Saccharomyces cerevisiae S288C: one gene and its partners. Changing the gene in region 4 together with the main gene of any one other region gives a genetic interaction. Each region holds a gene or a part of one and is shown on either strand. Other genes may lie near its edges.

Region 1 (7,257 bases), on a different chromosome or scaffold from region 4:
GTTGCAGCTGCTCCGCCATTGCCAACATTTAGTGCACCAAGTCTGCCTCAGCAATCCGTGTCTACATCAATACCATCACCTCCTCCTGTTGCGCCTACACTTTCCGTTCGTACCGAAACTGAATCAATTTCGAAGAACCCCACTAAGTCGCCACCCCCACCACCAAGTCCATCTACGATGGATACCGGTACCTCTAATAGCCCCAGTAAAAACCTTAAACAACGGTTATTTTCTACAGGTGGATCGACGCTGCAACACAAGCATAATACGCATACAAATCAACCAGATGTTGATGTAGGTAGGTATACGATAGGGGGATCGAATTCTATCGTTGGGGCCAAATCTGGAAATGAAAGAATTGTTATAGATGATTCAAGATTTAAATGGACTAATGTGTCACAAATGCCTAAGCCACGTCCCTTTCAAAATAAAACAAAACTGTATCCAAGTGGAAAGGGTAGTAGTGTGCCATTGGACTTAACATTATTTACGTGAGCATTTCTCCATGGTTACAATAAATCACTGAAGAACAAGAAAATAATAATATTTTATAAAAATATTTTACTAAATTACATATGGTATCTGCAATATTTATTTTTTAATCTTTTAGCTTCCCGTCCTTTTCGCTGTGAAAAATATAAAATCCAGCAAAAAAAAAAAAATGCGATGAGCTTACAAGACTACTGAACTTACTTACGAAGCCTCATCTTAACTAAAGATAGCCAGTCCACAGCTGCAGAATATTGAGGCAATGCAAAAAACAGATGGTATTAGAATTCCAGGCGTTATTTTGGACGAGTTGAAGACTCTTGACTACAGTCAAGATGAAAGGTTTTCTATTTCAGAAGGAAAAAAGAGAAGACGAGGAAATGGCAAACATTTAAGCCGTAAAGAAAAGAGAAAGATGGAACGGGCCGACAAGAAACGTAAAATTATATCAACTAGAGAAATCAATTCCAGCCGGCTAAAATCAGCACCAACGTCCGAAAAGAGGAGTGCTAATGCAGGTGTGAAAAACGTAGGCAAGCAGGCTAACGGTAAAAATCCGATTTCTTCAGATGAATCAGAAAGTAATGAAAACTGGGATAGTGACGAAGTGCTTACTGATGAAGTAGCAGAAGAAAGCGGTGAGCAGGCAATGTCTGCGGAAGAAACAATGAAAAAACTAGAATCATTGAAACGGAAAGCAAAGGGTATACAAGGAGCTGAAAACTCGGGAGAAATAAAAGGTAACTCATATGAAAAGAAACATATTCGTAACAGAGATACAAATGAGAATTTTGTGAGTTATCCGCTGGCCCCTTCAGACAGATCAGCGTTTGAAAGGGACGAGATGGACATGCAATATTACGCAAAAAAGTTGGGCTTGAAAGGAGAAAGGAAGGCTATACATGCAAAAGATGAATTTGATGCTATTGGTGGACTTCTTGAAGGTTTGGAATACTTTGAAAATTATGGCAAAAGTGACGAAGAGTATGGAGATTTTGCCACAGAAACTAATTCTATGAGAAAAGATGATGAAGCAAGCGAGAAAGCATTTTCCTCGGATGATGATCTTTCAGCTTCTGATTTTGAAGACTCAGATGGGCTTAGTGAATCTGATAACGACAGCGTTGCGGACTCGGATGATAATTATAGAAGAGAAAAGGAAAATCCCTATGTAGCTCCCACACAATCTGTAGAGAGCTATGTTCCCCCATCACTGAGAAAGAAATTGGATGATAGTGAAAACAATAGTACTTTGTCTGAAATTAGCAAGAAGGTCAACTCCTCTTTGAATAAGCTTTCAGACTCCAATATTACTATTATTATCACTGATTTAAACAGATTGTATGATTCCCTGCCTAGGCAGTACGTTACAGAATCGTTAACGAAAGGGATATTGAATATTATAAGCCAAAATCAGAAGTTGTTGGACGGATTTATAATGAATTATGCTGCTCTTGCGTATACATTATCAAAACTAAGAGGTATTGAGGTGGGTGCTTTTTTCATTCAAAAAACGGTAGAGGCATTTCTGCATCATTACGAAGAGGAAATGGAAAATATATTAAAGGATCAGCAGAGCAAAATTTCCTCTAAAATATGCATCAATATTGCAACCTTACTATCGTATTGTTATAATTTTGGATTTGTTTCGTGTCGCTTAATCTATGACATTATTCGAATATTTGTAGCAGATCCTAATGAATTCACTACTGAGTTACTTTTACGAATTATATCGATTTCAGGACAACTGATCCGGGGTGATGATCCATCCGCCCTGAGAGATATACGATCAGAACTGTTGAAGAACGCCAAGAATTTAAAAGAGCAGAGCCCAAGATTGAGATTTTTAATGGATACCATGTCTGACTTGAAAAACAACAGGTTAAAGCCTTCTATTTTGGCGACTGATCATCATCCATTAAAGAAAAACTTGCAAAGCATTTTGAATTCTTCTTCTTCTTGGGAGCCTTTACAGGTTTCTCTGGAAGACATTAAAAACATTGATTCCAAGGGGAAATGGTGGCTGGTTGGTGCTTCTTGGCGAGGAAACATGGAAAATGCTTTTGAAGTTTCGATCAATAATGAAAATGATGCCAGCAAGTCCAAGAAATCTAAAATTTCAATCGAGGATGATCTTCTTGATGATATTCCAGATTGGAATATTATCGCCAGACAACAGCGTATGAATACTGACATTCGAAGGGCTATATTTATAAGTATTATGTCTGCACAAGATTACCTGGATGCATTTAGTAAACTTGAAAAGTTAAGCTTGAAAAATAAGCAAGTTCTTGAAATTCCAAGAATTGTTTTACATTGTCTTTTGGCTGATAGTGGATCCAATGGTTATAATCATTACTACGCATTGGTCGCGAACAAAATATGTGAAAGGTATAGCCATTTATCGAAGTCGTTTCAATTCCTATTCTGGGATGTGATAAAAAAATTTGAAGACAAAGAATTCGATTCTGAAAGCGATACTGACGAAGAAGATGATTTAGATGATAAAGAAAAACTGCTTCGCATCTCAAATCAGGGGAGATTTTTTGGATCGTTGCTTGCTAATGACATTTTGAAATTAGATGTTTTCAAGCATGTTCCATTTATGGGTGGATTAAACACAGAAGGGATGTTATTTATGGAGATATTGCTATTTCAGTTATTTTTAACTGTAGCTAAAAAAAGTGAGAAGAAACTCAAGATGGATGAAAGTGGAAATAAGCGTATAATCTACTCCGATGATTATTTGCGCGATGTTTTAACGAAGAACGTTAAATCGGAAAATATGCTATTCATTCTCAAAGGTTTGAAGTGGTTTATTAACAAGAAATTTAGATACCATAATTTCCTTGCAGGAAAGAAAGGAGATAAAGCTTTTGATAGGGATGAAAGAAGATTGGCTTGGGCTTCAAAAGCTGCCAAATCTATTATAGACAAAGAACTGGAAAATATAGATTCGTAGTGTTTTTTGGAATAAATTTTGTATTCTTTATTTGCTCAACTATAACCTTGAGCTACAAAATATGAGGGTTCTATTCTATTTAAAATTGTTAACTGTATTTACTCTTATTTCATTTCTTTTTTAGCATCTTCAATAGCTTTCGTAAATGAGCGGCCTTCTTCCTTCTGCTTAAACTTGACGATATAAGTTACAAGTTTCCCATCAGCCGCAACAGTAGGAGCTTTAATGAGATTATCATTTCCGGGAGCTAAAGGCTCATATTTGAAGGAGTCTACAACAGTTGCATTTAGTAATACATTACCCATACCGTCAGACCTACAAAGTAGGCGCACTTTAGAAGGATCGTCCTTTTTCTTCAAAAGCTTCATTTCGCCTACGCCTCTTGAATCGTACGATTTGGTTTCAGCATTGAATGTCATTAATTTTGCTTTTTGCGAAAATAAAGCCACTTCGTCTTCCTCACCGTTTTGCAAGTTTATTGGCTTTGATTCTTCTGGGGTAGCATCTACTTTGGTTGCATCTTGCGACTCATTTCCAGTTGCTTCTGTTGTTGATTCTTCCTTGCTATCATTTGTAGTTGTTTGACTACCTTTTTGTTCAAATGGCAAAGAAAATTTGAACCCCGTCGATGGTATAGAGGGAGCAGGAGATGTTGAAGAATTAGCAGGCAAGTTTGCTGTTGTTTTTCCGAATGAGAAGGATGGAGTATTATTAGGCTGGGAGGTACCGAATGAAAAAGGTTTCTTAACATCCTCTTTATTGTCAGCGAGTGCAGAGGAGCCAAATGTAAAAGTTGGAGCTTTAGTATCCGCGGTTTTAGTAGTATTTGTATTTATTCCAAACGAAAAAGCAGGTTTTGTTGCTTCTTTCTTGTCATTTTCACCATCAACCGCAGAGGGTAAAGAGGGTTTGTCAGAGTCTTTGCTTTCACTTCCGTTTGATATGCCAAATGAAAAAGCTGGCTTTGAGTCCTTTTTACTTTCCTTCTCTTTCTCGGTACCAGCGTTAGATATTAAATTGAAGGCAGGCTTAGAGGAAGGTTTTTCAACGTTGTTGTTGTCATCTTCCTGACTAGCTTCTTTGGCCGATGGTGTTGCTGCACCAAACGAAAATACCGGTTTTGAAGTTTCGTTTTTGGAAGAGTTTGGGACCCCAAAACTAAAAGATGGCTTAGATGCATCAGGTGTATTCTTACTGGGTATGGAAAAGGAAAAAGATGGGTTTGAATCATTGCTATCACTAGACTTTTCAGGTTTTGAGTTAGAGGTTGAGTTTTCGTCATTTTTTTTTTCAATTGTTGTTGAACCAAACGTGAATGAGCTCTTTTCTAGCGATGGTTTTGCAGCTGCTTGACCAAATACAAAAGATGGTTTATTATTTTGAGAATCCGCAGCATGTTTTGTTCCAAAAGTGAAGGAAGCCTCGGCTTTACTGTTGTTGTCCACATTGGTCTTGGTAGCTTCTGTCAATGAAAGGGGATTTTTACTCTTCGTTTGTTCAGTAGTTGAAGTGGCCGAAGAAAATGAAAATGGTTTAGCATTAGTCTCGGTTTTCTTTTCATTTTTATCGGTGCTTGGATTCAGCTTAAATACATCACTTGATACAGTTCCAGAAAATTTAAATTCAGGGCCCTTGATTTCTATATCGTTTTCGCTATCACTTTCATCTTTCTTGCGATTTTCTTTTTTTGGGCCAAATGAGAAAACGGAATCTGAAATAGGCGGTTTAGCATCTATTGTGAACTTGGGTCCCTCCACCTTAACCTCATCTTCAGATGAAGAATCGGAACTTTTTTGGACATCTTCTACTTTGGCAGGTTTAGCATCATTTCCCTTTGTCTGCGTTGGATTCTCGATAGATTTCACGGGAGCTTCTAAGATATTCTTTATGTATAATTCGTACCTGGTGAAAAGGGGCCTCAAGTCCGCTAACGGCTTGCCTAGAACTAAGTCATCAACCTTAGCCTTGAACTGGAGGTTCAATGCTTTTAGTCTGGAATTGCTTTCTGTGGTAGGGCTATTATCAACCTGAGCTTCTCCAGTGCCGTCCGCCCGGTTCAGGAAGCTAAAGGAACTAGCCTGCTTGGTTTCATCCGATTTTGCAGAACCAAAAGGTTTGAACGCCATCCTGCGCTTTGGCATGGCAATTTTTCTTCTATTCATCACAGCAGATGACGCAACCTTAGTGGAGGGAGTCACGTCATCGTCAGACTCGTTAGAATCGTACGTTTCTCTCTGTATTTGCGCATCGGCAACTCTTTTGGCCATCTCGTTAATGATTTTTTTGAGTTACTTAACAAGGACTTGTATGAAAAATGATGTATGCTTTGTCAGGTTGAAAATTGTTTGCGCTTTCTTAAGCTCATTCGGTGGAAGCTTGTTTACCACACGATGCTTTAAAAAAATAGTTCTCATTTGAAGTCAAATCAAAAAAAATATTAAATATATCTCCGATACGGGGAGTCGAACCCCGGTCTCCACGGTGAAAGCGTGATGTGATAGCCGTTACACTATATCGGACGACAACTACGGAGGATATCGCATTTTATTTCATACCTTACCAAATGTTAGCATTATTCTCAAAAACGCTCATCTAGTGAGAATGTCACTGAGAAATGGATGGATAATTTGATAATTGCTGGGATTTTATTGTTGATCAAGGCTATGATATTCTGTATAGTTAATATACTAGAAGTTCTCCTCGAGGATATAGGAATCCTCAAATCCCTATTTTTACATAATGCTATTACGATTATTTCTTCTTCCGTCTTATATTTTTTATTGTCCTATTACATCATCAATCCTCGCATTTCAGCTTCCATTATATTTGATGACTGTTTCTCAATCTTTATGTTATCTTCTTACACCGTATGTGATGATATACTAATAACACGGATACTTAATAAACAGATGATGTTACAGTTTCATCCAATACGAACGATTATCAAATTATTGCAACATTTCCCAGTGAAATCTTCACCAAATGCTCATACAGCGTGACAATAATGAGCATTTTGAATTTTAAGGAAATTAATTTGTCTTCTATCTTTTGCATCCGTGCCTCCTGGATAATAACTTCAATCCTTGCACCACCATTGAACTTGTAACAGAGCTTTTTTTTTAACTTCTTGTCCTGGTACTGCATAATGAATAGCGCCAGAAGTTTCACGGATGTGCTACTGTTGGGAAGAGCCGCGAGTATGGAACTTCCTAAGCATCGCAAGTCAGGGGCCAGATGGGTAACCGGCAAAGACTAATTAGTATTGATGAAGTTACTTACCAATATATGTCATGAGAAGTGGCTTGTAAAATTTATTATTACAGTCACTCAGACAGAGCACTAAACTGAACTAGTTATTAAGGTATGTGCAGTTGATTCACGGGAAGAAGATATTTGAAAGAACCGAACCGATGCCAAAATCAAAGCCAAATCTGGGATTTGCCAAAAAAATTTTAGGATATAGAATAAAGATACGAAATATGAAAGGCGAGGAAAATTAGAATTAGTGGAGCAAATAATGAGCACAGGTCGCTAAGATCATTGTAACTCAGAATGACGTCAATCATAACTGGGTAATGAGATGTGCTATTGTATCTACTAAATCTATTAAACAGATCTTTATCATTCCAAGACCACCATACAGTTTAGTCTGCAGGCCATTTTGCTTTTGCTTTGACTTTTTTTTCTGAAAGATTCATTCATCAAAGGAACTAGAATATCTCTGCGTATTTTGTAATATAATTTTTGACACTAACATCAATTTTCACCCTTTCTTACGTCTCAGAACATAATATAACATGCCTCCA
Region 2 (9,563 bases), on a different chromosome or scaffold from region 4:
AGAAATATAATTGGAGACAACGAGTAGAAATGGAAGAATTGAAGAAGCATGGGAAAGAAGATGAAATGGATTTCGACACGACATCTGAAGATGATGACGAAGAGGAGGATCAGGAAGAAGAAGACAAAATGCATCCTAGTGAAAACCCACTCGAAGAAGTTGAAAGCGCAGATAGTGAAACTGGCTCAGAAAAATTTGACCAAAATGATGTTGCTAACGAATTCAAGGATTGGGCCAATCAAGAAATAAAAAAATTGGAAGGTAGAGATCAAGAGCTAGTTACTCCCACTTTGAACATCGATTATAAACCGATAATTAGAAAGGAAGATTTAGATGATGGTCTCCAAGAAGCTTATGTTCCAATAAACGAGAATTCCACCCGTAAAGCCTTCTATGTTGAAGTTAGCAGATCAGATGAAATTCAGAAAGCAAGAATTCAACTACCAGTATTTGGTGAAGAACACAAAATTATGGAGGCTATTCACCATAATGATGTAGTGATTATTTGTGGTGAAACGGGGTCAGGTAAGACTACACAAGTCCCACAATTTTTATATGAGGCTGGGTTTGGTGCCGAAGATTCTCCAGATTACCCAGGAATGGTGGGTATCACTCAACCAAGAAGAGTGGCCGCTGTGTCCATGGCTGAACGTGTAGCTAATGAATTGGGGGACCATGGTCATAAAGTAGGATACCAAATTAGGTTTGACTCTACCGCAAAGGAGGACACAAAGGTCAAGTTTATGACAGATGGTGTCTTGCTACGAGAAATGATGCACGATTTCAAGTTGACTAAATATTCCTCCATTATCATAGATGAAGCACATGAAAGAAACATTAACACTGATATTTTGATCGGTATGCTTAGCCGTTGTGTTCGGTTAAGAGCTAAACTACATAAGGAGAACCCGATCGAGCACAAGAAGCTAAAACTCATCATCATGTCAGCTACATTAAGGGTATCAGATTTCAGCGAAAACAAAACATTGTTCCCCATAGCGCCCCCTGTCTTACAGGTTGATGCAAGGCAGTTTCCAGTCTCTATTCACTTTAATCGTAGAACTGCATTCAACTATACAGACGAGGCTTTCAGAAAGACTTGCAAAATTCACCAGAAACTTCCTCCTGGCGCTATATTGGTGTTTTTAACCGGTCAGCAGGAAATTACACACATGGTAAAAAGGCTAAGAAAGGAATTTCCTTTTAAGAAAAACTCCAAGTACAACAAAGATTTAGAAACACCCGTTTCTAAAATGGGTATCAATTCAAAAACAACAGATTTGGAGGCTGAGGATATAGACTTCAGTGTACAAGTTATCGATCAAGATAAGTTCAAGAGCGCGATAAGATACGAAGAAGATGAAGGTAACAGTGGAAACGGTGAAGATGAGGAAGACGAAGAGGAAGAAGGGTTTGAAGAAGTCCTAACTGAAGGGCAAACAGCTAACGATCCTTTATATGTCCTTCCACTGTATTCTCTATTACCAACCAAGGAACAAATGAGAGTCTTTCAAAAACCTCCTCAAGGTTCTAGGCTTTGTATTGTTGCAACAAATGTTGCAGAAACATCGTTAACTATACCTGGAGTTAGATATGTTGTTGATTCCGGGAGGTCTAAAGAGCGTAAATATAATGAATCAAATGGCGTACAGAGTTTTGAAGTGGGCTGGGTAAGTAAAGCTAGTGCCAATCAAAGAAGCGGTAGAGCAGGTCGTACTGGACCAGGCCATTGTTACCGTTTATATTCGTCTGCTGTTTTTGAACATGATTTCGAACAGTTCTCTAAACCTGAAATCTTAAGAATGCCAGTGGAGAGCATCGTGTTACAAATGAAGAGCATGGCCATTCATAATATCATTAATTTTCCATTTCCAACTCCTCCAGATAGAGTTGCCCTTTCCAAGGCAATACAATTACTGCAATATTTAGGTGCTCTTGATAATAAGGAGATGATTACTGAAGATGGTAAAAAAATGAGCCTGTTCCCACTTTCACCCAGATTTTCCAAAATGTTACTTGTTTCTGACGAAAAAGCCTGCCTTCCTTATATTGTAGCAATTGTTAGTGCCCTTTCGGTGGGAGATCCTTTTATCAATGAATTTGAGTTGGGAATAAACGAAATTTCTAGAAAACCAAATCCAGATGAAAATCTAGATGATAAGATTAGAGAGCACGATGAATCAACACCAGGTATGGATCCTGAACTGAAAAAGGAATTGCGCAGTAAATTCTATAAAAGCAGGAGTCAGTTTAGTAAATTAGACAAATTTAGTGACGTATTCCGTTTATTAAGTGTTGTAAGTGCAATGGACTACGTTCCAAAGGAACAAAAAGAAATATTCATGAAGAAAAATTTTTTAAGAGGCAAACTAATGGAAGAAATAGTAAAATTGAGGAAGCAGTTAATGTATATCATCAAGTCCAACACTTCAAAAGAAAATATTGCCGTAGTAATTAGGAATGAAGACTTGAAAAGTGATATTCCAAGCGTCATACAAATAAAACTTTTAAAACAAATGATTTGCGCTGGTTTTGTCGACCATGTTGCCGTAAGAGCAGATGTTTTATTTCCAGATGATGCTAAGATAACCAACAGAACTTCCATAATCAACATTCCTTATATTCCTGTTTTGGCCACGAGAACACCAAATATCGAGGACTGCTTTGTCTATATCCATCCGACTTCAATTTTAAATAATTTGGGGGAAATGCCACCCAAATACATGCTCTATTATTCCTTGCACCTTGGTGGAAATAATAAAACAAGGATGAATACTTTATGTGACATCGCAAGCACCCCCTTAGCGAACATAGCAAGAAAGGGACTTCTTTTGACATACAGTAAACCTCTGACTGGTCAAGGCTTGAAGACCGTTAATTTATCACCTACGGAACGGTATTGTTATGTGGTTCCTAGATTTGGATCCACAGTTGACAACGATCTCAAGATTGGTTGGGATTTAAATCCTATAGCAGTGCATCAGAAGAAGCAAAAAGGCCAGTGGACAGTCATTAAGTTTATCACCAGAAAGGGCTTCCAGACCATCACAGGTGAAGAGAAAGAAAAAAAATAATGCGCTGGTATTATAGAAATAGAGTTTCATTATATAAGAACATATAGGAAGAATACATTATTCCTATCTAGGGCATCAAATAATTGCAACCACTTAATGTTAACTTCCTTCATAATTCAAAACATTATGTTCTATAGCACTATGTATTTTATGTCATTATATACGTAGTCAATAACTTTATACGTTTTTTTTATTGAACAAAAGTAAGAATTGCTTAAGACATAATAAGAGGAAACTCATCGAACCAATTCAAAACGGATTATAGATTTATCATACCAGATACGTTTATCAGGAGGCTTGTATAATGGAGCACAGATATAACGTGTTTAATGATACTCCACGAGGGAACCATTGGATGGGCAGTTCTGTGTCAGGATCACCACGTCCATCTTATAGCAGTCGTCCTAATGTAAACACAACACGACGCTTCCAATATAGTGACGATGAGCCCGCTGAGAAAATCCGACCTTTACGCTCGAGGAGCTTTAAAAGTACTGAAAGTAACATAAGCGATGAAAAATCAAGGATATCTGAACGTGACAGCAAAGACCGCTACATTAATGGTGATAAAAAGGTAGACATTTATTCACTGCCTCTAATATCAACCGATGTTTTAGAAATTTCCAAACAAAGGACATTTGCGGTGATATTGTTTTTAATAATTCAATGTTATAAAATATATGACCTGGTAATACTTAAATCGGGGTTACCGCTTTCGGGTTTACTGTTTAAGAACTATCGATTTAATTTCATATCCAAGTATTTCATTATAGATTCCTTCTTCCTGTATGTTTTACCATCCTTTAACATTCCTAGGTTGACTTTTAAGCCATGGGTTGTTTATCTCCAGATTTTAGCTATGCTACTATTGAACATTTTCATATCAAGCGATCACGAGTTCGTTTTGATTTCATTAATTATGACCACATGGAGAAAACTTTATACGAAAGAATTAAGTGTAACAGGTTCAGCCATTAACCATCATCGTATTTTTGATTCTTCCGCTCATTTTAAGGGTGCTCTAACAATCAAGATCCTACCTGAAAACACAGCTATGTTTAATCCTCTTCATGAATCATATTGTTTGCCCATGGATACCAATCTTTTTAAAATTAACTCAATTGACGTACCCATCAGAATAAACTCAACTGAAGAGATTGAATATATCGAGTTGGAATATAGAGATCTTTACACAAATTCGGTAGAGTTACGGTCTTTGAGTAAGAAAGACTTCAAAATCATCGATAACCCCAAATCCTTTTTAAAAAAAGATCAGTCAGTTCTAAAGTCACATTCAAACGATTTTGAAGAAGGCAGTACAATTCGTTATTTGGCTGTAACTCTTCAAGATATTGGCTTTTATCAAATCAAAAAAATTGTTGATTCAAAAAAACTGAATTTAAAGATCCATCAGTCACACTTGGTTGTACCCTACTGTCCAATTGCATCTATTACTGGAACTGGAAGCAATGATAGATGTATTGGCGATTCAGATAATGTTTCTTTTGAAATTCAAGGTGTGCCCCCAATGAAATTAGCATACTCTAAGATCGTTAATGGTCAAACTTTTTCATATGTAGACTCCAGCTTGCAACCAGAATATTTTGAGTCTCCTTTGCAGTCAAGCAAATCCAAACAAAGTTTTACTCAAGGAGAACTAAACGATTTGAAATGGGGAAGAAACCAACCTGTTAATATTAATTTAGACTCTTCCATTACCCAGGACGGCAAATTTGCATATAAAATTGATAAAATAACTGATGGTCTGGGAAATGTCGTGGATTTTACATCTCTCCCTGAAGAATTAAAAAAGCGCTATGATCTATCTTATAATTTCAATGTTCATGAGGTTCCACGTGCAGCGCTAGAAGAAAGATTTGATCCAAAGTCACCCACAAAAAGGTCTATTGCCATCGTGTTTGAAGAAATCAAAAACTGGATTTCAGACATTCCATATGTTATTAGCCTATCCTATACTGATGCACAAGACAAGTCGAAAAAGATAATGAATGTTACTACAGATTCTTTGACCAAAGTGTTGCAAGCGGATCTTCCGGGGTCATATAACTTAGAATATATTGAATCTAAGTTTTGTCCAGGTGAAATTGTGGGTAAATCAAACGTTCTTGTAACTATGCCAGTTGCACCTACTATGGAAGTTAAATCATTTCCAATATTGGACCAGTGTGTGGGACAGGTTGGTCTAAACTTTGAACTATCTTTTACTGGGGCTCCACCATACTATTATAACACTAAAATCTATAAGCTTGAAAACGGTGAAAGAAAGTTATATGATGCAAAGAGATACACCTCTGAAGGTACGAGAAATCGCTTCAGCTATAGTCCACCTAAAGAAGGTAACTATGAAATCGTGTTTGATACTGTTTCTAATAAATTATTCACTGAACCAATCAAATTGGAACCTGTAAAAGAATATACTTTCAAGACATCAATGAGGGTGAAACCAAGCGCATCACTAAAATTACACCATGATTTGAAACTCTGTTTGGGTGACCACAGCAGTGTCCCAGTAGCACTAAAAGGCCAAGGCCCTTTTACGTTAACATATGATATCATTGAAACTTTTTCTAGCAAGAGGAAAACTTTTGAAATTAAAGAAATAAAAACCAACGAATATGTCATTAAAACACCAGTCTTTACTACTGGTGGTGATTATATTCTATCTTTGGTTTCTATCAAGGATTCTACCGGCTGTGTAGTTGGACTCAGCCAACCAGATGCTAAAATACAGGTGAGGAGAGATATTCCATCTGCTGCATTCAATTTTTTTGAACCTATCAAAGAAGCTAAAATTAAGCACGGTTCTGTCACTGAAATTCCGCTCAAATTAAGTGGAGAGGGGCCATTCACCGTTAAGTTTAAACACATGGATTACGATGGAAACATTGTGAAAGAATTTGAAAACAAATTTCAGAATAGTTATAAGCCCGCTTTGAAAGTAAGTAAAGAAGGGCTTTACCAATTGGTCGATATTCGTGACTCAAGTTGCCAAGGTAATGTGATTTACCGGAACAGTCTGTATAAGGTATCTTTCTTGGAGAAGCCAAAATTTGCAATTCAAGACAATCATCACATTACAAAAGTAACGGAAAATTTATTCTCTAAAGAAGAAGTCTGTCAAGGGATGGAAGGTACGGTTGATTTGGCTCTATTTGGTTCTCCACCATTCATATTAGAATATGATTTGATGGCACCCAACGGTCATATTTCTACAAAAAAAATTCAGGTGGCAACCAAATACGCTTCACTGAAACTGCCTAATCAAATTCCTGGAGAGTACATAACTACTATTAAGGCCATCTTCGATGGCAATTATGGTGAAAGCGACATACATTTTAGAGAACATCAGTCGGAGCTCATAATCAAACAGACAGTGCACCCCATTCCAGACGTCGCCTTTGCTGATGGTGGTAAAACCTTGCGTGCATGTGCTGCTAATGTAGATCAAATCTCATTTTTGGAACCAATAAATTTGAAATTTTTACAAGGCGAAAGCCCATTTTCAATCACCTTTAGCGTTTATCACGAGAGTACCAGTAGGACAGATCAGTATACCATTGACAACATTGACTCAGAGAACTTTTCATTTGAAAAGTTATATGAAGGGATGAAGTTAGGTAACCATGCCATTACTATTGATTCTGTTGTTGACGCAAATGGTTGTGTTAACAGCCTCATATCTGGACCGCGTAATCAAATTCTTGTGTCAATTACTGATGCACCAAAGATACATATATTAGATCCTTCTACCGAGTATTGTGTTGGGGACTATGTTGCATATCAATTAAACGGTGTGGCACCTTTCATGATTAAGTATGAATTCAACGGTATTCCACTAAAATCTAAGGAACGCAGCTCCCAATTTGTTAGATTAGCATCTGAACCGGGCATTATATCTATCACTTCTTTACAGGATTCATCATCACAATGCATTGTCGACTTTACGAACCCTAAATTAAAGAGTGAATTTGATGACTTATCTTTAAACATACATCCTATTCCTTCCGTAACTGTTTCTCAAGGAAATTACGTTACTGAGGATATCCGCGAAGGTGACCAGGCTGAAGTAATCTTTTCGTTTGAAGGTACCCCACCATTCTCACTAACTTATGTAAGGACAGAAGAGACTGATGGAAAACACGGCAAAAGGAGGTCGCAGGTTGTTGAGACGCATAAAGTCACTGATATATATTCTCATGAATACAAGGTAATTACAAGCTTGCAAGGTACCTACGAGGCGATTGAAATTACAGATGCTTATTGTTTTGCCAAAAATGATCTTTTTTTCAATAACTAAATATTACAAGAAAGTCTGATGAAATTTTTCTTTCCCGCAATATTTTTGTACAATTGTAATGTATAATATATCTCTGTACATCAGTATTAAAATACTTAAGAAAGCGAAAAAGACGCCTGTATTGTTTGTTGTTCTTTTTCTTCAAAATTATCAAGACGCTCGATTCAATTATCTTCGCTCATAGTAACTCGAAAGAGTGTAGGTGAATGAATAGAAAAAGAGAGCGCTGAGACCTTTGTCCTTTACGGTCTATAGAGGTGTGTTAAAAGCAGACTTTTGAACATCCACAGAAATTGGCTCAATGACCTATCCGAAAAGAATACCTATAAATGCGTGGTCTGAAGTTCATAGGGTGGCAAGGCCACTAATTATTACTTTCGACGCATATAATACACTATACGCCACAAAACTTCCCGTCATGGAACAATACTGCATTGTTGGGCGTAAATATGGTATCAAGGCGAATCCTTCGACTTTAACAAACAATTTTCCACACGTTTTTAAAAAACTGAAGGAAGACTATCCCCAATACGGAAAATATTCTGGTATCAAGCCCGAACAATGGTGGTCCATCTTGATTAGGAACGTCTTCGCACCAAACGAAATTCCCGATGAGATGATAAATGAAATATTAATGCGGTTTGAGGGCTTCGATTCGTATTTTGTTTATCCAGATTTGATCAAATTTTTAAAGGATTTGAAGTCAAGACATCCTGATGTTATCTTAGGAATAGTAAGCAATACTGATCCAATTTTTTACAAATTATTAAAGAATATCGGATTATTTGAGACATTTTCCGGTCACATTTATTTATCATATGAGCTTAATCTCGCCAAACCTGATAGAGCAATATTTCAATATGCGCTTGACGATATTATATCTAAACAACCTCATTTACTCGAAAAGTACACCAGGGAGGAAATTCTACAGCATTGCTTTCACATCGGAGATGAATTAAAGAACGATCTCGAAGGGGCAGAAGCTGCCGGTTGGACTGGTATACTGTTAGATAGAAATGATAAATACGGGTTTCTTTCAAACTCGATTAGTAAACCAATGCGGGACGAATACAAGCTGTCAATTGATAAAATAGATAATAATTCAATAAACACTTGGGAAGCCAATACTAAGCAAACTGACACGTTACAGTTGAGTGAAAGAAAGTACGTTGTTTCGAATCTTGAGGTTTTAGAGGAACTCTTTCCCTGAGCGCCTAACGTTACAGTAACAAATATGTATGATAGATATTATTCATATCCGCCAGTAATATTTACTATATCTTTGAATGGGTTTGTTTATTAATAATCTACTATGTGTAAATATATGATCCAAGTATTATACAGTTTAGACACTGATTGTTTTCCAGACGTTCAAACCGTCAGTACCGGTACTTACTAAACAACCTGGGATTTGCTTATGCCATTTGACATCTTTAACTTCCTTTTGCCAGTGAACAAACAATAATTGTGGTGGAATTTCTTGTAGCTCTTTTGTTTCGGCGGCCTGTTGTTTAATTTCCTCATCGTCAGCTTCTACAGACAAATCCCACAAAGTCACAGTATTATCTTCTGAGCCTACCGCAACGATAGACTCATCTAATGGGTTGAATGCAATGGAAGTAATGGCTCCCTTATGGAAGTCATATTGAGCAACCGGTTGGACGGCGTCAGCATTACTTGGCGTAAACTGTCTTAAATCCCATACTCCCCATGTACCGTTATCGTCACCGCTTGCTAGCAAGTAACCAATTTTATCACTCCAACTTATGACATTTACGTCAGTATTAGAAGCTTTAACAGAGATAGCAGGTTTATGTTTTTTTGATCTTGTGTCCCAAATCCTTATATATCCATCACATCCTGCGGTTGCAAAAACGGTGGATTCAGTGCGAGACCACTGGATATCTTCTATGGATTTATTGTTTGAAACAGTAAATGGTTGTTTATCAGTCACCCATCTCGATGTGTGCCTTTGGGTAAAATATATTTGTCCTGAGCAATCACCTGATAGTAACGCACCAGTCTTGATCAATGGTGACCAATCCAACCCGTAGCCTTCAACATTCCCATGATTTTTTACAGTGTGAATAGGACGCTTAGCAGACTTCGGAATCTGATAACCTGGTGTGGAAAAAGCTTTGCTTTGTGGAGCTAGATTGTATATATAAACA
Region 3 (4,143 bases), on a different chromosome or scaffold from region 4:
TGCTTGATCAATTGTGCTATGGGGAGGTCCCGGTGCAAGATTCCAATCATCCTTTTGTTCGTGTCACCTTTGTTCTGTGCCATCAACGACAAATAGTGCGTCACAAGCAGCTTCATCGTGATTCTCTCCTTCAGGTGGAAGTTCAAGAACTGCGAAATTTGAAACTTTGGGTAACACGATTGGATTTCCTGAAGACCTTTTGCCAATACCACAATGGCGTCCTCGTGGTCGTCCAGCAGTTCTGTGAACTTGGCCTGTATCTTGGGAGGATTGTGCAACTCGTACGGGTATGCGATTGATAGCAACGTTTGCAAGCTTTTCAAATACAAAGAGTTGGTTCTCTCAATATGAGGGTTGATTACCGCATTATACGGTAGCCTCTGAATGGCATTAAGCCGTTTACACGTCAATGAAAGCAACAGGTTGATTGTCTTGATCGTCAGCATGTACTCCTCCTTCTTGGTCAGCGGCGGCCTGTATTGCAGGAAATACTCGTAGTTTAGGGGCGCAATTGGTTTACTAGCGTAGTCCTGTATCAGCAGCTCAATGTTCGACCTAATCTTGTAATGCTGGTCGAACGACAGTTGCGACAGCAGCTCGTGTGAGGGTCGCTGGCGATGTGCCCAGCGCATTCCCCCACATTTCCATGAACGCATAATCTTCCACATACTACCGTGAAGGCGTCTTGATACCACGTCTTCCAGTTATGGTCTTGACTCACCAATGTTCTCAGTTTAATGTTGTTTGCTTCATACTGGCAGACATTTTCCCTTATTACCGTGAGAAGCGAGCGGTGGATTAATCGGGATGTCAAAAACAAGAAAATTGCAACCTTCTTCACCTATAACCTATATGATTTGTAGGCAGAGGAGTGGAATAAGCAACAAATCATAGTCATCAATGTCGTTTAATGCCTTCGCCAGCTCTTTGAGCAAGAAATTACAGGAAATATCCACAAGTGTTTCCGAAAAAACCCAGGAATTGCCCAGTTTGGCGCAATCCACCCAAAGAATGGTCCAGGAACGTTTGGGCCAGGTGACGGACATCTCCCAATTGCCAAGAGAGTACACAGAGCTGGAAGATAAGGTTGACACCATCAAACTGATTTACAACCACTTCTTGGGTGTAACTGCTATCTACGAAAACGGATCGTACGATTACCCTAAATACATCAACGAATCCGTCAACGAGTTTTCAAGAAGCGTGGCTTCCAAGTTGACAGAGTTGACTCATGCTACATCTGCGTCTGAGGCACAAAACATCTTAGTTGCTCCAGGCCCCATCAAAGAACCCAAGACGTTGAACTACGCCCTCAGTAAAGTGGCTTTGAACTCCAGTGAATGTTTGAACAAGATGTTCCCCACCGAGGAACAACCCTTGGCTTCGGCACTCTTGCAATTCAGTGATGTGCAGGCTAAGATTGCTCAAGCTAGAATTCAACAAGATACCTTGATTCAAACCAAATTCAATAAAAATTTGAGGGAAAGGCTCTCTTTTGAGATCGGTAAGGCCGATAAGTGCCGCAAGGATGTCCATTCCATGAGATTAAGATATGACGTGGCAAGAACTAACTTGGCAAACAACAAGAAGCCAGAAAAGGAAGCTTCCTTGAGAGTCCAAATGGAGACTTTGGAAGACCAGTTTGCTCAAGTCACTGAAGACGCTACTGTGTGCTTGCAGGAGGTTATTTCTCACGCTAACTTCAGTGAAGATTTGAAGGAATTGGCCAAGGCTCAAGCTGAGTATTTTGAAACCTCGGCTGGCCTAATGAAAGAGTTCCTATCCAACTCATTTGCGGAAGAGCCGGAAGCAAAGCCTGAGGTTGCAGAAGAAGAAAAGCCACAGACAGCTATCTCTATGAATGACGAAGACGACGCTTAATAGCCGCCCTGTTCTTGTCTTTCTCTCTCCTTCTCTATATATATATATTTACTTAATACAATATCATATTCTCTAGTGTCGTACGAATATTATCATTTATTTGCTGGCTTTTGTAGTGAGTATATTTTTTGTAGAGAAAATATAATTACTGGAAGAGAAAAAGCTACTGAAAAAAATTTCGTAACAGTCACCAAAGGGCAAAGTGAGCAACCCAAAAATGGACGCTACTCAACCGCAATACGAACTATCCGTAGTAACACAATGCCTAAAGTCTGCCATTGACGTCATCCAATGGTTGATTCCTACTATTACTAAGTTCAGCCAATCACACCCGTTAGTTTTCCAACTATTGTTTATTTTCTTCACATTTTATGTCTTTTACAAGTTGTTGATGAACTTCATTACTCTGGTCAAAAGATTCCTGTATTTGACGTTGGTAGTAACATGTATCGGTATTTATATGCGTGGTTCGCAGCAGTTTTTGACTGTGGACCTGTTGAATTTCTACAATTTCGTCATGTCAAATAGATACTACGCATTTAAAATTTATACTCTGTTTATTAATGCCCTGGAAAGAGAAATCAACACTGTTTATCATTTGGCGCAGATGAAAATGGAACAGTTGCTTAAATAGAGCGAAACGCCTCTGCTTACTCGGAACATCTTAAAGTAATTACATATCTTAATTTCTAAATATTCATATAGATAAAGAACGTTTTTTTTGCTAGATTCCTCCCCTAGTCACTATCAAATATTGAGCTATTTTTGGTGACTTGTGTTTTCCAAATTATTCATTACAATTGTGACTTGATTTCTGAAGTTTTAAGAAAAATTGCAAACTAAGTTATTACAAGCGATTTATCCGGTCGCGATTGAAGAACTGAAAACAACAGCAGCAGCATTGTACCAAGAATCCCAAGATGCTCAGGTGTGCGGTCAAGAAGTTTGCATATTTTGCCACCTTCCTCACTATCGTCGCTAATATTTACATCTATACTTATCCATCTTTCCATCCAGAACAGTGTTCATGGAACTGCTCTAACAAGAACGCACCACTACAGAAAGATTTGACTTTTGTGGACAAAGTGAAGAATTACTTCAGTGATGTTCGAGAGCAATGGCATGGTAGCCATGCCTCTGCAGGTAACGATGAGGATATTCATATTTTGGCCTTCGGTGATCCTCAGATTAAAGGCATCTGGCCAAAGACGCCATATGTGTCCCGATTAGATACATACGGTAATGACTACTATCTTGGTCACATCTATGATATGATGCAGCAGAGACTGAAGCCTCAGGTGGTGACTGTTATGGGTGATCTTTTCTCCAGTCAATGGATCGGTGATTCCGAATTCCATAATAGAACGAAAAGGTATATTAGCAGAATTTTCAAAAGAGACCCAACTTCTATTGAAAATATCAAACAACAGAACCTCGATGAGAAAGGTCAATATAAGGCGAATTGGCCTGAATGGGGAGACCGTTTTAATGAGATTTTAGACAATGTCAAGGAAAACGAGGCTGATAATCAAGAACTTTCTTTTGGGTTTGGTTATGAAAATATCCACTCATGGAATCCAGACTTGGAAGACTTTTTAATCATCAACATCACAGGTAATCATGATGTAGGTTACTCAGGCGACGCGACTTATCAACATATGACAAGGTTCCACGACCTTTTCGGTAAGGACAACTATTGGATTGAATACGAAACCAACACTACCCATCCTTGGAGAATTGTAGTGTTGAATGATCTTTTACTAGAAGGTCCCGCTTTACAACCAGAATTTGTTGAAGCTACTTGGATCTTTTTAAACCAACTAAATGAACGTAAATTCAATGGTAGTACTGTTTTGTTGACGCATGTTCCATTTTACAAGCGTGAAGGGTTATGCGTTGATGGCCCAGACACTAGGTATTATCCAGATGCCCATGCCCCAGAATCATATAAATCTGGGCTTTTGAGATCCCAAAATCATTTGAGTGAATCCGTTTCAAATCAAGTTTTGAATATGATATTTGAAAATGGGAAGCCAGGTATCATATTAACTGGTCATGACCATGAGGGCTGTGAAACAGTTTATAATAAAAAATCTACATCTACTTGGGAAGCGACTAAAAATATCGAAAGTGACGTTTTCGTTAAAGAAATCACAGTTAAGTCTATGATGGGTGAATTTAATGGGAATACTGGTTTGGTTACAGGACACTTCAACACAGATTCAATGACTTGGGAGTGGACTTTCAGTTTATGCCCATTCG
Region 4 (10,063 bases):
TTTTTTCTGCATCGTGGCACCTAGAACAAGAGGTACCTTCCATCCTTCGCTTAATATTTGATACGACTTTTTTGATTTCCATTATTATTATTTGTTACTATTATTATTTATCATTTGGGTTTCGGTTTTTTGTAATAATTTTCTTTTTTTTTTTTGGCTCTATTTCACTAAGACATCGTATATATGCCAGGCCAGATAATCAGCATTCCGTTTTTGTCGCAGAACGAGGACATGGATAAATACTTGTTGGAGTACCGCAGTTTGAAGCTCCTTCATCAGTCCAGTAATTCCTTCCAGTCTCACAATGCGCCCTCCCACCAGTCGAACTACCACCCCCATTACAATCACATGAAATACAACAACACTGGTAGCTATTACTATTACAACAACAACAATAACAGCAGTGTAAACCCACATAACCAAGCTGGTCTACAATCCATTAACAGATCTATTCCATCGGCCCCGTACGGGGCTTACAACCAGAACAGAGCTAATGACGTACCATATATGAATACCCAAAAGAAACACCACAGATTTAGCGCTAACAATAATTTGAACCAGCAAAAATACAAGCAATATCCCCAGTATACGTCCAATCCAATGGTTACTGCACATCTGAAGCAAACGTACCCTCAACTGTACTACAATAGCAACGTCAATGCTCACAACAACAACAACAACAGCAACAACAACAACAACAACAACAACAACAGCAACAACAACAACAATCTTTACAACCAGACGCAGTTCTCCACGAGGTACTTCAACTCGAACTCCTCTCCCTCGTTGACTTCTTCCACTTCTAACTCATCCTCTCCATACAACCAAAGCACCTTCGAATACATTTTGCCGTCAACTTCGGCAGCTTCCACAAATTTATCGTCGTCATCATCAAACAACTCTATGCACACCAACCCAACCACTGCAACATCGACATCCGCCGATTTAATCAATGATTTACCCGTGGGCCCCACGTCCAGTTCGCTTATCTCGGATCTACATTCTCCACCAACTGTATCTTTCCTACCAGCAAGCCAAACCCTGCTCATGTCCTCCACCACATCTAGCTCTATTGGCACCAACATAAACCCACCGCAACATTCACCATCCCCATCGCAAAGGGAGGATTTTTCGACGGCACCAGTGAACATGTCTTCGTCCGCATCACTCTTGATGAATGATTCTTCTTTAGGATGGGGGTCTAACCACATGAACGTATCTTCATCCTCTCAACCAGCATCATCAAGACCCTTTGGCATTTGGAATACTGACATGAGCGTTTGGAGTTGAGATGTTTACGTATATTTTTATGTATATTATTATCATTAGTATTACTATTATTGTTATTATTTATGCACGGTTCCTATTTACACGCGGCGTTTATATTTTACCATTGAATATTTAAGATCTCTTTGAATTTTTTCTCGAATTCGTTTGCCTTTATACGTCCCTGGCTTCGTCTCATTCCTTGTCCAATTAGGAATTTTAAAGAGGACTTCTTTTTACCAGTAACCAGGTTCCGTATAAAAGTGTCATCTGTGTGCTGTGCAATGACATCATTACAGAGATCCATCAATTCTTGAGGGTCGACCTGATTAATCGCATGCAATTCAAATTTCTCGATTAGTTTTGAAAAATCTGGAATAGACAAATCTTGGCAGTTACTCTGCTCGAAATTTTCCAATATGTGAAACAGTAACATTTTACCACTAGTTGCGGATATAACCTCTTCATGCAATAACTTCAAAAACTGGGCGAAAACCGGAGGAGGCAAAATTTCTTTTGCTTTGGCCAATGGAATTTGTAGCTTGTTCAAATCTCCCAAGAATTCATGGATTATCCAATTCGTAGGTAATTTCGCGTTACTACGTTCACCAGCAAGCTTGGAAAATTCACGGAAGGTGTCTAAGTAGTACGATCTCAACGCCTCATGATTGTACATATCGTTTTGGTTACTATTATAAGTCAGAATCTTGGCGTCCTTCAATGATAATTGATAGGGTTTCTTCATAAGAATTCTCATTATATCGTCCGGTAATTGGGGCATCAACCCTCTCACACCACTGATAACGTCTGGTGCGAGGTTGATATACGGCAATTCTGGATCAGGCATGTACCTGTAATCGATCGTGGTTTCTTTGCTTCTCAACTTCACCGTTGATGAGCCTGTCCAGCCCCTTGTTTCTGGCTCCATCAGTGAGCTAGTGTCACCCACAGAAATCAACTCAACTTGCCGCTGATATTCGTACTTGATTGCATTGATGATGGAACTAGTATTGGGTAAATTCTTCAACTCAACGCGTGCATATTCATTAATTGAGAGGTTAACGTCCACTCGCATGGCGCCCGTTTCCAGGTCCCCAGAGGAAATGTGCAAATGACGTACCAAATTCTGATATTTTTTAATAAACGCTCTAACCTGTTTAATATCACTGAAATCTGGTTTAGTTACCAATTCGATAAGCGGGACGTTCGACCTATTTAAATCAACCAAAGTAATAACGTCTTTATCTGTCTCTGTATAGTGTGACTTCCCCGTGTCCTGCTCTATCTGCAACTGTAAGATACCGATTTCCTTGGCTGATTCATCGATATCATCCAATTCCTTCGACAGATTGATCTTCCCACCCCGAGCAAACGGCCTGTAGTGCTGCGTCAGTTGATAGCCTTGAGGTTGATCTCCATAAAAATAATGCTTCCTATCAAACTGAGATATGCTATTCACTTGAGAACCCAGTGCCAAGGATAGTTTCATGGCAAACAAGATTGCTTCCAGATTCAAAACCGGCTGCGTTCCCGGTAGAGCTATGTCATAATAACTAGTATGATGGTTTGGTGCATCCACTAGAGATGTGGCGCTATTCGTTGATTGTGAAAAAAGCTTGTTTTTGGTGTTCAATTGCGTATGAATCTCCAATCCACACTTCAATGCATATTCCGGCCTGAAGGGTGCACCGTGACTATGTATGGCTTTGGTTCTGGCCAAAGAATAAAAACGTGCAAGCCGCAACATATCTAGTTCCTACTCTGGTCTTTTTGGACAGGAATGCTAACAATAACACTATTACTAGGTGGTACGACTAAGTACATCACGTCAAGCTTATTACTACTATAACTACTATTATCATAACAAAAGGGAAAACTAAACCCTATCTAAACAAGGGTTATTTAAATTTTTAACAAGGGCATACAACAAAAAAATAATAAACCTAAAATCAGAAAGTTAATCTTTCAGGGCTTTTGAAAGTGGAATTAACGTCTCTAGTAAACGAGGATTGTTTCCAATGAGATTCTAAGACCCAAATATCCTCTTCTTTACTTTGAAATGTTTGCAATGGACCATGATTATGGATGTGTTCTTTGTGACACGCTTTCAATGTACTCTATATCGTGTTGCACGAAGGATTGTTACTTTATTTGTAAAAAAAAAAACAATTTTTCGAGATGGGACATTAATATTGTAGAATTCTGAACATATTAGTGAACAGTTCTTTCGGAGAATTACTGGAACCTAGGATCTGACAAGCGGACAAAAAAGCAGAGTGCGTTTATTACTTCTCTTTCTAGCGGTTGTTCATGTTTCAAAGTTTTTTCCACAACAATGGGCCCGCTGCTGCCGGTGAAACGTTTTCAGATAGCAGATCGTACCCTTTAACGAATCATCAAGAAGTACCCAGGAATGGACTGAATGAGTTGGCCTCATCTGCAACCAAGGCGCAACAACAACCTACACACATATTAAACTCATATCCAATTACCGGGTCCAACCCACTCATGAGGGCAAGCGCAATGGGGGCGACCTCTGGCAGCATCAATCCTAATATGTCCAACATGAATGAGCACATTCGTGTTTCCGGGATGGGGACTTCTAAGCCCCTGGACTTAGCGGGAAAGTACATTGACCATCTACAACATAAAGATAGTAACACTCCCGTACTCGACGAACGATCTTATTATAACAGCGGGGTAGATTATAACTTCAGCAGAGAAAAAAACGGCTTAGGAGCGTTTACTCCATTTGAAAAGCAAGATGTGTTCAACATTCCGGACGAGATTTTGCATGAATTTTCCACTTCACAGACAAAAACTGATATGGGTATTTTCCCGGAGTTAAATCGATGTTGGATAACTATTGATAATAAACTGATACTCTGGAATATTAACAATGACAATGAGTATCAGGTGGTAGATGATATGAAGCATACCATTCAAAAAGTCGCCTTGGTAAGACCTAAGCCAAACACCTTTGTGCCTGCCGTGAAGCATCTACTTTTGATAAGCACGACAATGGAGCTTTTCATGTTTGCTATTTCCTTAGACAAAGCCACCAACGAACTCAGTGTATTCAATACACATCTATCAGTCCCTGTACAAGGCATTGATGTAATAGACATTGTGTCTCATGAAAGATCGGGTAGAATTTTCTTCGCAGGCCAAGCCAGTGGCCTGAATATCTGGGAGTTGCACTACTCAGGTTCCGATGACTGGTTCAATAGTAAATGTAGTAAGGTCTGTCTGACAAAGTCTGCCCTATTAAGTCTTCTACCTACTAACATGTTATCGCAGATTCCAGGTGTTGATTTTATTCAGGCTTTGTTCGAAGATAATTCTAACGGTAATGGCGGATTTTCTCAAGAGACCATCACGCAACTAACTATTGACCAACAAAGAGGAATCATCTATTCATTATCCTCCAAATCCACCATTAGAGCATACGTAATAACAGAAAAATCACTGGAAGGACCCATGTCAATTGAGCCTGCCTACATCAGTAGGATCATAGGTACCACGACGGCAAGGGCAGCACCGATTTTGGGCCCCAAATACCTAAAAATTGTCAAGATAAGCTCTGTTGCACCAGAAGAAAACAACAATTTGTTTTTAGTTGCTTTAACAGTAGGTGGTGTGCGTTTGTACTTTAATGGTTCCATGGGCAGATTTAACATCGAAGCTTTGAGGTTAGAATCGATCAAGTTCCCCCCTAGTTCTGTAACTCCTGAAGTCATCCAACAAGAATTACTACATCAACAACAGGAACAGGCGAAGAGAAGCTTTCCTTTCTTTTCAAATCTAATGTCTTCCGAACCAGTCCTCTTAAAATTCCAAAAGAAATCATCTGTATTACTAGAGACTACAAAAGCAAGTACAATTATTTCCCCAGGCATATTTTTTTCCGCTGTGATCAAGTCATCTCAGCAAACTCATCAACAAGAAAAAAAAGAGAACTCATCTGTTACTGGAACGACCGCTACCGCAGGGTCTAAAACTGTCAAACAACAGCCAGTTACTTTACAACATAAGCTTTTCGTTAGTGTTCCAGATTATGGTATCTTGAAAACACACGGTAAGTACGTTGAAAATGCCACGTTTTTGGAAACTGCGGGCCCAGTTCAACAAATTATTCCCTTATCGGGGTTGTTTAATGCAACGACAAAGCCACAAGGATTTGCTAACGAATTTGCGACACAGTACACATCAGAAACTTTAAGGGTAGCAGTTTTGACGAGCACTTCTATCGAAATTTATAAATATCGTACTCCTGATGAAATTTTTGAGGATCTAATCGATAATCCGCTGCCATTCGTCTTAAATTATGGTGCCGCGGAAGCTTGTTCCACTGCATTGTTTGTTACTTGCAAATCAAATAAATCTGAAAAATTAAGATCTAATGCCCTGACTTTTTTAACTATGGGTATTCCTGGCGTTGTTGACATCAAACCTGTCTACAACCGTTATTCTGTATCTACAGTATCCTCTTTATTGTCAAAGCCCACTTTATCAACCGCAACAACTAATCTCCAACAATCAATAACTGGCTTTAGTAAACCCTCCCCTGCAAACAAGGAAGATTTTGACTTAGATGACGTAATATTATCCCCCAGATTTTACGGTATTGCATTATTGATTACCAGACTACTTCGAGATATTTGGGGGAGACATGTCTTCATGACTTTTACAGATAATAGGGTGACATCCCATGCTTTCATTTCTTCTTCTGATCCAATCACTCCATCTATTAATAACCTAAAAAGTGATGAAATTTCACAAAATAGGAACATAATATCAAAGGTTTCTATTTCCAAGGATTGTATCGAGTACTATCTATCTTCAATTAACATTTTAAATGAATTTTTCATCACTTATGGTGATTCAATTTCCCAAATATCAGCTCCCTACGTATTAGCGAACAATTCTAACGGCAGGGTTATTGATAAAACAGAAGAAGTTGCAAACCAAGCGGAAAGTATAGCGATTAATGCGATGATCAAAATGGTACAGTCCATAAAGGAAGGTCTATCATTCTTGAACGTTTTATACGAGGAAAGCGAAGTCGAAGGATTCGACAACCAATACCTTGGTTTCAAGGATATAATCAGTTTTGTAAGCTTGGACGTCCAAAAAGATTTAGTCAAACTAGATTTTAAAGATTTATTTGCTCCAAATGACAAAACAAAATCATTAATTAGAGAAATTTTATTATCCATCATCAATAGGAATATCACCAAAGGTGCGTCGATAGAGTATACCGCAACAGCTTTACAAGAACGCTGTGGATCATTCTGCTCTGCAAGTGATATATTAGGATTTAGAGCCATTGAACATCTTAGAAGGGCTAAAGAAATTGGCTTGCGTAACTATGATTCTCTAAACTATCACCTGAAAAATGCTACTGCTTTACTTGAACAAATTGTGGATGATCTTTCTATCGAGAAATTGAAAGAAGCTGTATCAATGATGCTGAGTGTAAATTATTACCCAAAATCTATTGAATTCTTATTGAATATTGCCAACTCTATGGACAAAGGCAAACTAGCTTGTCAATATGTGGCAAATGGATTTTTAGAAAATGATGATAGGAAACAATATTACGACAAACGTATCTTAGTTTATGACCTAGTTTTTGATACTTTAATAAAAGTAGACGAACTTGCCGAAAAAAAACAGTCATCAAAAACTCAAAACCAAATTTCGATATCGAATGACGATGAAGTGAAACTGAGACAAAAAAGTTATGAAGCCGCCCTAAAATATAACGATAGATTATTCCACTATCATATGTATGATTGGCTTGTGTCTCAGAACAGAGAGGAAAAACTATTAGATATTGAAACTCCATTCATACTCCCTTATTTAATGGAAAAGGCAGGTAGTTCATTGAAGATATCTAATATACTCTGGGTCTATTATTCAAGAAGATCTAAATTTTTCGAATCTGCTGAAATTCTTTACCGTTTAGCTACATCGAATTTTGACATCACATTGTTTGAAAGAATTGAGTTTCTTTCACGCGCCAATGGTTTTTGCAACAGTGTGTCACCATTAAGCCAGAAACAAAGAATTGTACAATTAGCTAGTAGGATCCAAGATGCATGTGAAGTTGCTGGTATTCAAGGTGATATATTGTCGCTCGTGTATACAGACGCAAGAATAGATTCAGCCATTAAAGATGAGCTGATCAAAACTCTAGATGGTAAAATATTGAGCACAAGTGAGCTGTTTAATGATTTTGCTGTACCCTTAAGTTACCATGAAATTGCCCTATTCATTTTCAAGATAGCAGATTTTAGGGACCATGAAGTAATTATGGCCAAGTGGGATGAGCTATTCCAATCTTTGAGGATGGAATTTAATAATACCGGAAAGAAAGAAGATTCAATGAACTTCATCAACTTACTGTCTAATGTACTGATTAAAATTGGTAAAAATGTTCAGGATTCTGAATTCATTTTCCCCATTTTCGAACTCTTTCCCATTGTCTGTAATTTTTTCTACGAAACACTACCTAAGGAACATATTGTATCAGGGTCGATAGTTTCTATATTCATAACAGCGGGTGTTTCTTTCAACAAAATGTACTATATTTTAAAAGAACTAATCGAGACATCAGATTCCGATAATTCCGTATTTAATAAAGAAATGACCTGGTTAATTCACGAATGGTACAAATCGGACAGGAAATTTAGGGACATTATTTCCTACAACGATATCATTCACTTGAAGGAATACAAAATTGATAATGATCCAATTGAAAAGTACGTTAAGAACAGCGGCAATAATTTGGGGATTTGTTTCTACAAAGAATAAAAATTCATGTTCGACATATAGATAGCAGGGTAATGTACGTGTATATTTTAATGTAATAAAGAGGCCTTACTAGACGGTAAAGTTAAGAATATCGAGTGAACTTTTCCTTAAGATAAAGGTAAATATAGTCGAGTATTTATTTATTATTCTTTTCCACTATACAGTATTTAAAATTCTGTAAGAAATTGATTCTACATACATAAGACAAACGAACAGGTCAGAGAGAATCAGATTTTTGGTTAGCAAGAATACATTTTGGAGAAGAAAGACATTAACTCCACCTTACTGTATCATCTTATTTGCTTTTTCACTCCTTCCTAATATTTTTTTTATTTTATTTTGAATTTCTTCCTATTTCTGATGCATTGAACAGATCGTAATCTGTAAGTAAATACCATAACGTGCTCACATTTGTCTCCAAATACTGGTGAAATCTTGGCTCCGTTGTGTACAAAACTTCTTAATGAATATATATATATTTTTCCCTTATTTTATCTTTTTTTTTCGAATTTTTTATGTAAACATTCTTATACTGGAACAATAGATGGCTAATGAGTCCCTATAATTTCGATTTTAGATGTTAACGCTTCATTTCTTTTCATATAAAAGACTACCTGCCAAATGTATTTTCTCCTGAGTAAGTGACATACAAAAACCCGTCCTTATCCTTGTGTTCTTGATATATGGCAGACATCAACGCCGCAGTAGGTGGCAAAGTATCATTGACAAAAATGAAGATGGCCTTCTCAGGGGGTAGCATAATTCTCTTTCTTATAACATAAACAAATTGCCCTACGGTAAGGTCAGCAGGAACTAGATATTTACGCTTATCAATCTCTGGAATATCTGACTTTTCAGCTTTTTCGCAAATCACAGGTATCCTATTCTTGAACCTGTCAGCAATCCTCTCCGACTCCGCCTTCCTTTTTTCAAATGGATATTCAGACTTAAATGTAGACTTCATGTCTCTAGTAATTATTTTATTATGATTTTCTCAACTTTACAATTATTAGATTCTCTTATCAATCCCCTCCTCAACCTTTAATGGTTCCCCTTTTTGTATTTCCATAATTATACCAAATATTTTTGCCGCCGCCGAAAATAACCGGCCTCCGGGTGATGATATATCATGTGCTATGATTTCACGGGTATTATACAACATTATCGGTGGAGACAGTTAGCATTACATGACTCTAACTTAAACGTAAACTTACACATATACATCTATATCACTTCGAGTAGAGAAAAATTTGTACGTATTTATATGAGTTGTTTTCATAATTTGAACACTTTTAATTTGAAAATGGTGTCATTAATAGATTGTTCTTCATCACCAATTGGGTCTGTCTTTGAGCCGTCATATTTGGCAATGTCGGATCTACAGGTCTTGCTTAACATATCAAAATGTTCTTTGACAATGGCTTCAAAGTCGATAGTATCTTTAACTAATTCGTACTCCACTAAAACATCGTCGGTGGCTTCCAAACCACACTTCTTTCTCAATTTTTGGATTCTGTTGACCAGCTCTCTTGCGAGACCTTCACTCTTTAGTTCAGAGTAAATATTTGTATCCATGATGATTAACACGTCTTGGTCGGTTCTGGTTTCTTGTCCAGCTTGGACAGCAGATTCTGGCAAGCCTCTAATAGCATTCAAATCTCCTTTAACCAGTTCAATACCGGCAACCTCCAACTTTCCGCTTTCCAAATATTCCCGTACTTGCTCAGAAGTGACTGATGGTAGGGCATCTTTAACCTTCTTTGCGTCTTTTTTCAACTTCTTACCCAATACAGGCCAATCAGCAACTGCTTTATACTCAACACCATATTTTGCCTCATCGGAGGTGATAACAACATCACGAACATTTAATTCCTCGATAATGTAGTTTTTCAAGGCTTCTACATCCTTCAAGTATGATTCATCACTGTGAAGGATGACCAAAGTCTTCAATGGAGTTTTTAAGGAAATAGTTTTCTTT

Evidence for each region.
Region 1: mutations in NUP170 (region 4) and NUP2 together harm fitness more than expected from each alone (negative genetic interaction), as found in Saccharomyces cerevisiae (5 studies listed by BioGRID, with this or other methods).
Region 2: mutations in NUP170 (region 4) and POM152 are lethal when combined (synthetic lethality), as found in Saccharomyces cerevisiae (5 studies listed by BioGRID, with this or other methods).
Region 3: mutations in NUP170 (region 4) and APQ12 together harm fitness more than expected from each alone (negative genetic interaction), as found in Saccharomyces cerevisiae (4 studies listed by BioGRID, with this or other methods).

The regions. Positions count from the first base shown.
Region 1 is NC_001144.5:795,891-803,147, reverse strand, and holds NUP2 (nucleoporin NUP2), read right to left. Parts: upstream 5,719-7,257; coding exon 3,556-5,718; downstream 1-3,555. Other genes in the region: VRP1 (Vrp1p), read left to right, coding at 1-495; SGD1 (Sgd1p), read left to right, coding at 752-3,451; 40S ribosomal protein eS25 RPS25B, read left to right, coding at 7,249-7,257. UniProt on the Saccharomyces cerevisiae protein: Functions as a component of the nuclear pore complex (NPC).
Region 2 is NC_001145.3:524,426-533,988, forward strand, and holds POM152 (Pom152p), read left to right. Parts: upstream 1-3,378; coding exon 3,379-7,392; downstream 7,393-9,563. Other genes in the region: ATP-dependent RNA helicase ECM16, read left to right, coding at 1-3,074; DPI35 (Dpi35p), read left to right, coding at 7,694-8,602; ribosome biosynthesis protein RRB1, read right to left, coding at 8,738-9,563. UniProt on the Saccharomyces cerevisiae protein: Functions as a component of the nuclear pore complex (NPC).
Region 3 is NC_001141.2:275,625-279,767, forward strand, and holds APQ12 (Apq12p), read left to right. Parts: upstream 1-2,098; coding exon 2,099-2,515; downstream 2,516-4,143. Other genes in the region: protein kinase PKP1, read right to left, coding at 1-668; GVP36 (Gvp36p), read left to right, coding at 901-1,881; TED1 (Ted1p), read left to right, coding at 2,802-4,143. UniProt on the Saccharomyces cerevisiae protein: Involved in the regulation of lipid homeostasis in the endoplasmic reticulum, thereby impacting nuclear pore complex biogenesis and localization, and nucleocytoplasmic mRNA transport.
Region 4 is NC_001134.8:71,683-81,745, forward strand, and holds NUP170 (Nup170p), read left to right. Parts: upstream 1-3,576; coding exon 3,577-8,085; downstream 8,086-10,063. Other genes in the region: YBL081W (uncharacterized protein), read left to right, coding at 184-1,290; glutamyl-tRNA(Gln) amidotransferase subunit PET112, read right to left, coding at 1,388-3,013; ubiquitin-like protein ATG8, read right to left, coding at 8,696-9,049; isoleucine--tRNA ligase ILS1, read right to left, coding at 9,361-10,063. UniProt on the Saccharomyces cerevisiae protein: Functions as a component of the nuclear pore complex (NPC).